Linked DNA regions of Rattus norvegicus. The protein of the gene in region 1 interacts with the protein of each later gene in a pairwise test. Links are inferred from orthologs where the notes say so. Each region holds a gene or a part of one and is shown in the gene's direction. Other genes may lie near its edges.

Region 1 (4,775 bases):
ACAGACCGAGAGGAGAACAAACAAATTGCCTTGGGGACCTCCAAACTCAATTACCTGGACCCTAGGATCACAGTGGCTTGGTAAGCATTAGGCTGTGAACTCCTGCTCTTAATTAAGGAAAGGCAGAAAGTCTCTGGGAGTAGCCAGAGACTTGCCAGCTCCCTAAGCTGCCATGTCTAAGTTCACATTTCTTCCAAGAGAGCCTGCAGCTCTGGTTGCTACAGGTACAGTGGAATCTCCTACATGCCCACGGGCACGTTAGTCTAGGAGCCCATACCTACAGAAGCCAGAGGAGTAGTACATTTGGTATCCTCCTTCTAATCACAAGGTAACTGGACTTGGTAGTGTATGCCGATAGCCCAGCACTTAGGAGGCAGAAGCAAGATGATCAACGCAAGTTTGAAGCCAGCCTTGTTTAAATAAAAAGACTGTTTCAAGAATAAATAAGACAAGAACAAGTTCCTAAAAAACACAAGGCGCAGCAAAGAATTAAGACCATAGATCCATGTAACTACACAGAGGTAGAGAGACCATTCTACAAAGGCACCCATTTCCCCCAGGATAGGGCCTCGACCTGATGCAGGCACGCAGCATTAGAGAGGGGATGGCCCACCTCCCAATGTCCTGGGGCAAGTGCAGAGGTGGAGAGGAGGCCCTTGCAGCATTCTAGGTCAGGAAGGGGATTTGGAGAGGAGAGAGGACAACCCATCCCTGCAGCATCAAGGGCTTACAGAGGTGTGGTGTGGTGAGCAATACAGAGCTCCCTCCCTCCCTTACTCTTTCATATATGCACAGTGCTGCCCCATTTCCACTTCTCCCTCTCCATGTAGCTAGTCCTATCATCAGGCTGGACGCAAGGAATAGAAGCTTACATACCTAGAGAACTGGTTCGGTTTATTGGGGAGAATAAAGGTTATTTAAACCTTTGGTGGGTGAGTAGGGACTATCTATCGAGGAGAGTGTACATCATTGGCCTGGCCCAGGGTGATAGGGATGCGTCATTGCATGAGGAAGAAATCCAGGTTTAATCTGGCTACCAGCTCCATAACCACCTCTGGTGAGGCAAAGTCTATATGAACATAAGCATGCAGGCCAGGGGAAGGGGAGAGGAGTGATCGAATCTTCCCAATCTCGGGATGCGACGTCCAGGGTTTGGACACACCTTGACCCTGCTCTCGCTCCAGGCTTGCTTCCCCTGGCTCCACAAAAAAGCATCCAAACAAGTCAATCATTTCTGAAGATGTTTCATTAGCTTGAGTCGTTGAATTCTAGACCAGAGACCTAGCTTTGTGCTTGTGTTGCTAAGGGTTAACTTTCTTTTTTCGTGTGTGTGTGTGTGTGTGTGTGTGTGTGTGTGTGTGTGTGTGTGTGTGTGTGTGTGTGTGTGTGTGTGTGTGTGTGTGTGTGCTGACACCAGGAGCTCTGCTGATAGTTTGGCAACAGTTGGTAGATTCTCTCCTTCCATCATGTGGGTCCTGAGGATCATATTTTGGTCTTCAAGCTTGGTGTCAAAGCTTGCTGTTCTGGTTAGGGTTTCTATTGGTGTGATAAAATACCATGACCCAAAAGCAATTTGGGTGTTTGTTTCAGCTTACAACTCTGGTCACACTCCATCACTGAGGCAAGTCAGGGTAGGCATTTAAGATGGGACATGGAGGCAGGACACGAAACTGACCAGCACAAAGGAATACTTACTGCTCACGAGCTTGCTGGGTTGGAACTTCTCACATCAGGTAGTCAAAATGCTCTACTGACCTACCACAGGCAATCTGATAGAGGCATTTTCTAGATTGAGATTCTCTTTCTGTGATAACTGTAGCTGTGTCCAGTTGAACAACAGCAGGCTACCCACAGAGGCATCTCACCATTCCCTGGACTAACTGTTGAGAAGCAGTGTGGAGGCAGGCAACAACGTGGGCTTCAGACAACTGCGTAGTGTGAAATTGCAGCTGCACTTTCTAGTGGCATGAGGACACTGCTTTTTACCATCTCTGCAGGGTGGTTGTTCAAATTCTACCTTTTCTTTTTTTTTTTTGGTTCTTTTTTTTTTTTTTTTTTTTTCGGAGCTGGGGACCGAACCCGGGGCCTTGCGCTTCCTAGGCAAGTGCTCTACCACTGAGCTAAATCCCTAACCAAATTCTACCTTTTCTGTTTGTATATCAAAGTAACACCTACTTTAGATATCTCTGTTGATTAAAAAAATGAGATGATAAAATACTAAAGTCCTTTGAATATTTTGGCGCACCAGAAAACTCGACCCCTGCTGTGGGTTGTCATTGAGATAGACTCATCTCCTTTGTTGTATCCATATTTATTTGTTTATTTTTTTTTTGCAGGTGCAAAAAATGGGGGGTCCCAATCGAGAAGATTTACAACAAAACCCAGAGAGAGAAGTTTGCTTGGGCCATTGATATGACTGATGAGGACTACGAGTTTTGACCAGTCTCGGCAGGGGTTCTGTGAAAGGAACAGTGTGGTTTGGGGAAGATGGATAAACTGAGCCTCACTTGCCCTCACACCGGAGGGAGAGGCCACAAGTCTTAACAAACCAACATCTTTGCAAAAAGATAGACCTGGAGATATTATAAGGGAGAGCTGAGCCAGTTGTCCTATGGACAACTTATTTAAAAATATTTCAGATGTCAAAATTCTAGCTGTATGATTTGTTTTGAATTTTGTTTTTATTTTCAAGAGAGCAAGTGGATGGGAATTTGTTGGCATCCTGCCAGGCAAATTCAGTTTTGCTGCAATGTTTGGATTCTCTCAGCTACTGTATGCGAAGTCTGATTATATTGGTGCGTTTTTACAGTTAGGGTTTTGCAATAACTTCTATATTTTAATAGAAACGAATTCCTAAAATCCCTCCTCTCCCCAATTTCAGGAATTTAAAATTAAGTAGAACAAAACAAAAACCCAGCGCACCTATTACAGCTGTCATCCACCGTCATGGGAATCAGTTTTCATTAAACTTGAAGCAGTTGTGGCATCATCGGCAGTGTTTTGGTTCAGACACCTATTCACAGAAAAGCATGATGGGAAAATATTTCCTGACTTGAGTGTTCCTTTTTAAATGTGAATTTTTATTTCGTTTTAATTATTTTAAAATATTTAAGCCTTCTTCTTGATCTTAAAGATCGTGTAGCTTGGGGTTGGGGAGGGATGAAGGGCGAGTGAGTCTAAGGATAATGAAATAATCAGTGACTGAAACCATTTTCCCATCATCCTTTGTTCTGACCATTCTTTGTACCCTTTAAGAAATCCATCTTTTTCTTTGGAAACCCCAGTCTTTCATTTGAAAGATTTTATTGTATAAAAACTTCCACAGGTCAATAAATTTAGAGGAAAATGAGCATTTGGTCCAAGGAAAACAAAAACAAAAACAAAACAAAAAGGAAAAAATAATCAAGATTTTAGGGCTTTTATTTTTTTTTCTTTTGTAATTGTGTAAAAAATGGAAAAAACCATAAAAAGGAAAATTTTAATGTGAAGACTTTTTTTTTGCTATAATCATTAGTTTTAGAGGCATTGTTAGTTTAGTGTGTGTGCAGAGTCCATTCCCACATCTTTCCTCAAGTATCTTCTATTTTTATCATGAATTCCCTTTTAATCAACTGTAGGTTATTTAAAATAAACTCCTACAACTTAACGGAAACATAGCGTCTGCCTCTTTGTGAATGAGGCCCCAGGCCACAGTAAAGGCCGGGGGCTGAGATTTAGTGCAGTGCACGGTCTGTTCATTCAGGTCAGCAAGGGTTGGTCCCTCCCAGTGGGAAGATGGTATGGGGCTTGACCTGGAAGTACGTCTGTCCTGATGTGGAATCAAGAGTAGCAGAGGCTCCATCCCTAAAGATAGGCCCAGAAAGCCAGGAAATGTACAGTTATCCTCCGAGAGCTGCCTAAGCCCAGTGTGGGCAGTAGCGCTTGCACAAGACGGCCTGTTTATTTGGGAAACAATTGTGGAGAGCTTTCCACATGTACTGAACAGAAACAGGATAGCTTTCTTATGTGGTGAAGCCTCCAGTCTGTACTGAGTACCAGATCTCAGAAGCCTCTCAGATGGAAGGAAGACTATTGATTGGTCGAAGGAGTTAACTGTTAACTGTAGCCAACCCAGAGCTCTGGGTACCCCAAAGTAGCCATAATCCCTACCAATGTTCCTTCTGTTATCCTAAGTCTGAAATTCAAGATGAAAAGGTGAGCTCCTGGCTAAAAGGAAGGTCCAAATGGGTCACGGACTGAAGGGTCTAGACCTGAGCTTGCTGGCATACGCGTTCTATTCAGAACCACCTTCCTTAATGGTCTCAGGTGCTGGGACCACGGCAGGAAACGCTTGCTTCCTTGAAGCTTGAACTTCACTGGCCTGTGAAGACAGGCAACACTTCCTCCTTCCTGGGAATAAAGACAGTATAACCATCACTGTTTGGAACCAAGAACATTATTATGAATTCTGTAGTGTTGAGCTAGCCAGAAAGAATGTTAAAACATGAGGTCTGGTAAGAAGTGCACCTTAGTTTTGGGAGCTGATAGTAACTAGGTTACCAACACTGGGCAGATATAAAGCAGGAAGCAGTGCCCGCCTCTGGTAAGCTCCGCCTGCGTGAAGAGCAAGTATGTGCTGCCCAAGATAACACAGCAAATAGCACACACTCCAGGCAGTGGGGGCAGGCCTCTAAGGAGAGCTGTGGCAGAGCAGGGCGCTCAGCTGATCCTGACTGGGACCGAGAAGAGATTGGGGCAGCAGCGGGTTACGAGGGAGCTGATGAGTGGGTAGAAGT
Region 2 (4,675 bases), on another chromosome or scaffold:
TTTTAAAAAGCGTTTTTGTATTCTACATTTTCTAGATTTATTTTTGTCTCTTTCGGTTGTATGTGTCTGAGAAGTGGTGTGCATAATAGAGCAGGCGTCCAAGGCCAGCGGTCTTGGCTCCCCTTGGAGCTGGTGGCATGGCAGTCGTGAGCTGCCCGTGTGGGGGCTGGAAACCAGACTGGGTCTCTACAAGAGCACGCACATGCTGTTCCTTACTAAGCCATCTTTCCAGAGCTGTATTCTTTATTTTCCCCATTTTAATTAGATTTTCACTATCTTTGCATGCCAGTCATGTCTTTGTAAACTGTCGTCTTTTAAGCTAGCAGTTCTGAGAACACCACCATTGGCGTGGTACATCTGAGGACATGGAAGAGCCCTGTACGCACGACTTGCCATCTTGCTTCATGTTCCTATGTTGACTCCGTGTGGTTTTGTGATGGATTTTTGTTTGTTTGTTTGTTTATTCTCTTTTCTGGTATTTTGTTCTCTTACTTACTTATTAAACATTCTTTTATTATTTTGTTAGCAAAATAAAATAGTAATTTTAGCAAAGTAATTTTTAGCAAATTTTTAGTAATTTTTAGCAAAGCAAAAGAAAATTAGTAATTTTAATGAGAAATTGAGTATTTTTTACTATTCTTTTGGTATGTTACTTAATATACAAATCCTTATGATATTTTAAAATTAAATCTTAAAAAATAAAAATTTCAAATTAAACTGTCCTATGCAGTACAAAAGACTTTTCTGTATTATCTTCAGTGTTTGGTGCATTTCATGTATTTTGTTCCTTCATATATTTTAAAGCCTATAAGATGTTGTCATCTTAAAAACCATTAATCATTTAGATTACCTGTAAATTCATCCTTTCTGATGACTGCTGTGCTCTGTCTAGGATCATTTCTGTCAAGCTAAACAATTAGTATTTTCCACAGTAGGTATTAGGCCATCAGAGTCCCTCAAAACTCCTCTTCCCCTCTGTTCCTCTGTAAGCTTCTCCTCCTGCTTTCACTTTTCAAGGCTATGTTTCTGGTTCTAGAGCTTGAGCTTGGCAGCTTCTCATTTACTATTTAGATGCAGCCCTGTTTCCTTTGCTGCAGTTGTTCCCACCAGCCAGGCTCATGTTTAGAAGGATGCACACCTTTCCTCTGGTACTTGTGTTAGGTTTGCTTTCTAGGGGGTTGTTGATGGTCTATTCGGTGTATCTGAGTTCTTTGATGTACCTCTCTCTCTATCTTAGTGATTTACCTCTCTCAGTGATTTACCGCTCTCTCTCTTAGTGATTTACCTCTCTCTCTATCTTAGTGAACGCTACTTTACCTTCTTGAAGCGGTTACATGTTTTTCATTACATGAAGACTTTCTTTTTTGGTTTTGGTTTTGGTTTTTCTGTTTTGTTTTGTTTGGATTTCTTTTTTTCCCCCGAGACAGGGTTTCTCTCTCTGAAGCCCTGGCTGTCCTGGAACTCAACCAGTGTAGACCAGGCTGGCCTCAGACTCAGAGATCTGCCTGCCTCTGCCTCCTGAGAGCTGGGATCAAAAATGTGGCACCACCGATGCCCAGTGAAAACTTCCTTTTTTTTTTCAATGAAGGAAAATCCTCTTGCAACAGGCTTTTGAATTATCATGCATTTTAAACCTTAAGAAGTGTGTGTGGTGCGATGCACTGCATAGTATGTAGAAGCCAGAGGTCAGTCATGGTGTTGTTCCTTAGGAACTGTCCACATTGGGTATTGACAGGTTTTTGGAAGAGCCTCTTACTTGGACTGTGCATGGCTTTTTATATGGGTGCTGGGGATTCAACTTTGCAAAATAAGGAGTCTCCTCAGCCCTTATCCTTAAAATGTTAATTCCTCTGGAGGAAACTCATCTTCCTCCTTTATTTCATCATTCATAGGTACTGTTCTGTTTCTCATGACCTTCCTTCTCTCCCTCTTTCCCTCTCTGCCCTCTGTTTGTTTGCTTTATACTCTTTCCTTATCCACAGATTACAAGTAATAAAGCTTGCATCATGTGTGCTGAGCAATAGATTTTGTCACTTTGTATGTGATTTCTTTTTTAAAACTTACTTGAGGGTTGGGGATTTAGCTCAGTGGTAGAGAGCTTGCCTAGGAAGCGCAAAGCCCTGGGTTCGGTCCCCAGCTCCGAAAAAAAGAACCAAAAAAAAAAAAAAAAATTACTTGAGTCAGGGTCCCACTGTGTAACCTCTGTGATGAGGAAATTGCTATGTGGACTGTGCTGATCCCGAGCTTACAGAAATTCAGCTGCCTCTACACACGAAGTTCCTGGATTACAGGCATGTGCCACCGCACCTGGCTCTCAGACTGAAAGTTTAAAAAAAATTGTTTTAAAATCAGTAGGCTTCCTAATCCAAAACTGTAGTATTTTGAAGTCTCTTCTGCTTCTACTTGCTTTGCAATGGATCTCCTGCCCTCTTTGTGGGGGAGCAGCATTAATTCTGTGAAGTACTCTAATAAGACACAGTGAACTGGGAAATTGTACTGTATGTGGTTGTCTGTTTGCACAGCTTTCCCAACCATAGTTCTCACCTTCTGCTCACTTCTAAACCCCAGTAACAAAGCATTCTTCCCTGTCATTCTGGGCTGCAATGTCCCTTGTTCAGATTATAGTCTCCGACAAGTATTGACTGGGAAATGGAAGGCCACAGGCACCTGTCTGACCTTGGAGTTAGTTGATTTACCAACAGAGAGATTGATTCTTTTGGTGAACAGAAGTCTGTGGTCCTCAGGGTAGTGGACAGAAAGATCCTTTTTGTTATGGTAGCATTCCATCTAAGCCTTCACTTATCTTAACACATTCTTTCAGGTTAGCCTCAAAGGGATTGGCCAAAACTTCAAATGTATGCTAAAATTTTAAATGCTAAGTTTATTTTCTATTTTTCCAGGTCCTGCTCAATCTGGAATTCTGTCAGATCGTGAAGTGGTAAACCTCTTTCTTCATTTTACCGTCAATCCTAAACCCCGAGTCGAGTACATTGACCGGCCGCGATGCTGCCTCAGAGGAAAGGAATGCTGTATCAATAGGTTCCAGCAAGTAGAGAGCCGCTGGGGTTACAGTGGGACGAGCGATCGGATCAGGTATCTGTCTGTTGGAGTGTGGGTGTGGTGGCGTGGGATAGAGGGGACAGTTAGTGGTTGGTCTTTATCCTTTTGAGAGGTAGTTAACACGTATTTTATAGTTTGCTTAATACAGGATGAGGCCAAAGCTGCACACAAAGGAGAAATAACGGTTTGTAGTAAATAAGAGTAGGACAGCCGATCCAAGTGAGAAGAAGTGAACACAGAGCCCAAGAGAAGATAAATAGGCGAGTGAAGAAAGTCGTGCATTAAAAGTAGGAAAACCGATCAATTCACAACTGTTTTCCTTAAAAGACTAACAAAGCAAGCCATCCTAGAAGCAGTTCTTTAAATTCATATTTAGAAATCAAAATGCGACTATCGTATGCTGAAATTTTTACTTTCGTTCTGGGTTTACTCTATGCTAATAAATTGAACATCTTGATGGAATGGATCATTTTATAGGCAAATATAAATTATCAAAATTGACCGAAGAAGAAAGCCTGAGTAGACCAATTACCCTGGGAAGAATTAAGTTATCAAAGAACTGTCCATTCACAAAGTTTTTACAGGTGAGTTTTTATCCACCATTCGAGGAACAGCGTTTCCTTGAGCACTGAAGGAGGAGAATGCCATGTGGTTAATTACTGACGGAAGCAAAGTTCAGATAAGAGTGGAACAGGACACATTCTAGCCGAGCCTCCCATGTGGAGGAAGTTCCGCATACCCACTCTGCCTTAATGGAACAGAGAGAACAAATAGTATGTGTTTGGAGAATCAAGAAGTCGGTCTGTGATAGAGCTCACCCCAGTAGGAGACCACAGGAAACAGTGGTTCCACTAGGCAGTGAGACTTGGTGGGCCGGCGGTACCTTTGATAAAACTCTACCTTTGTACTGGTGATAATATTGATAGATTAAATTGTTAGCATTTGTCTAACCATGGCAGACTATTGAAGAGAAATTAAAAATCCAACTAGAAATATTACCAGTTTTACTGAGTTTTGCTGGTGATTACTGCAGTCATAAATTAGAGCCCTATATAATCAGAAAGGAAGAGGCCTTTCCCACTAGTTCTGGATGTACATTAATATATAGCTCTTGAAAACTCAGTTTTTCTGTAGTAAATATTTTGTACCCCCTTTACTGACTTGAAATTCATAGTGTCAACAGTTTAGGGGATAAATGGCATATTTGTAATACAAAGGAGAAATAAAAACAGTTGATAATAAAAATTTAAAGAGAAATATTGAAGCTGATAGTAAAATTAGTACTTTGGTGTCTAGACTTTAAGTGATACACTAGCAGGCGAACGGAAGTACACAGTCTCTCTATACACTCGTGTGCTAGCTACAAAGAATGCACATGTTTATGACTTACATTTCAATATTTGATAAAAGTTCAGTCAGTCCTTTGTATTCATTTTTCCATATCTGAACTTATTTATCTACTGGCTGAAAGCTATTTGGAACTCATTACTCAGCTTTTTAGACATTTTCTGCCAGAAATTTTAGTTGCATGTTCCCAGGCAAGCTGAAATTCTTGAAGCTCTGCCTTCCTATGTCAGATTTTCCTACAAAAGCAGAAAAGATAAGGGAGGGGCAA

The links. The genes of interacting proteins can lie anywhere in the genome.
Region 2: the proteins of Top1 (region 1) and Btbd1 interact in a two-hybrid assay, tested with the Homo sapiens proteins (2 studies listed by BioGRID). The link is inferred for Rattus norvegicus from reciprocal best matches to the Homo sapiens genes TOP1 and BTBD1.

What each region holds. Positions count from the first base shown.
Region 1 is NC_086021.1:169,792,679-169,797,453, forward strand, and holds the end of Top1 (DNA topoisomerase 1), read left to right. Parts: coding exon 1-80; intron 81-1,329; exon of another isoform or gene 1,330-2,336; coding exon 2,337-2,439; 3' UTR 2,440-3,652; downstream 3,653-4,775. UniProt on the Homo sapiens protein: Releases the supercoiling and torsional tension of DNA introduced during the DNA replication and transcription by transiently cleaving and rejoining one strand of the DNA duplex.
Region 2 is NC_086019.1:145,153,061-145,157,735, reverse strand, and holds part of Btbd1 (BTB/POZ domain-containing protein 1), read left to right. Parts: intron 1-2,900; coding exon 2,901-3,093; intron 3,094-3,537; exon of another isoform or gene 3,538-3,644; intron 3,645-4,675.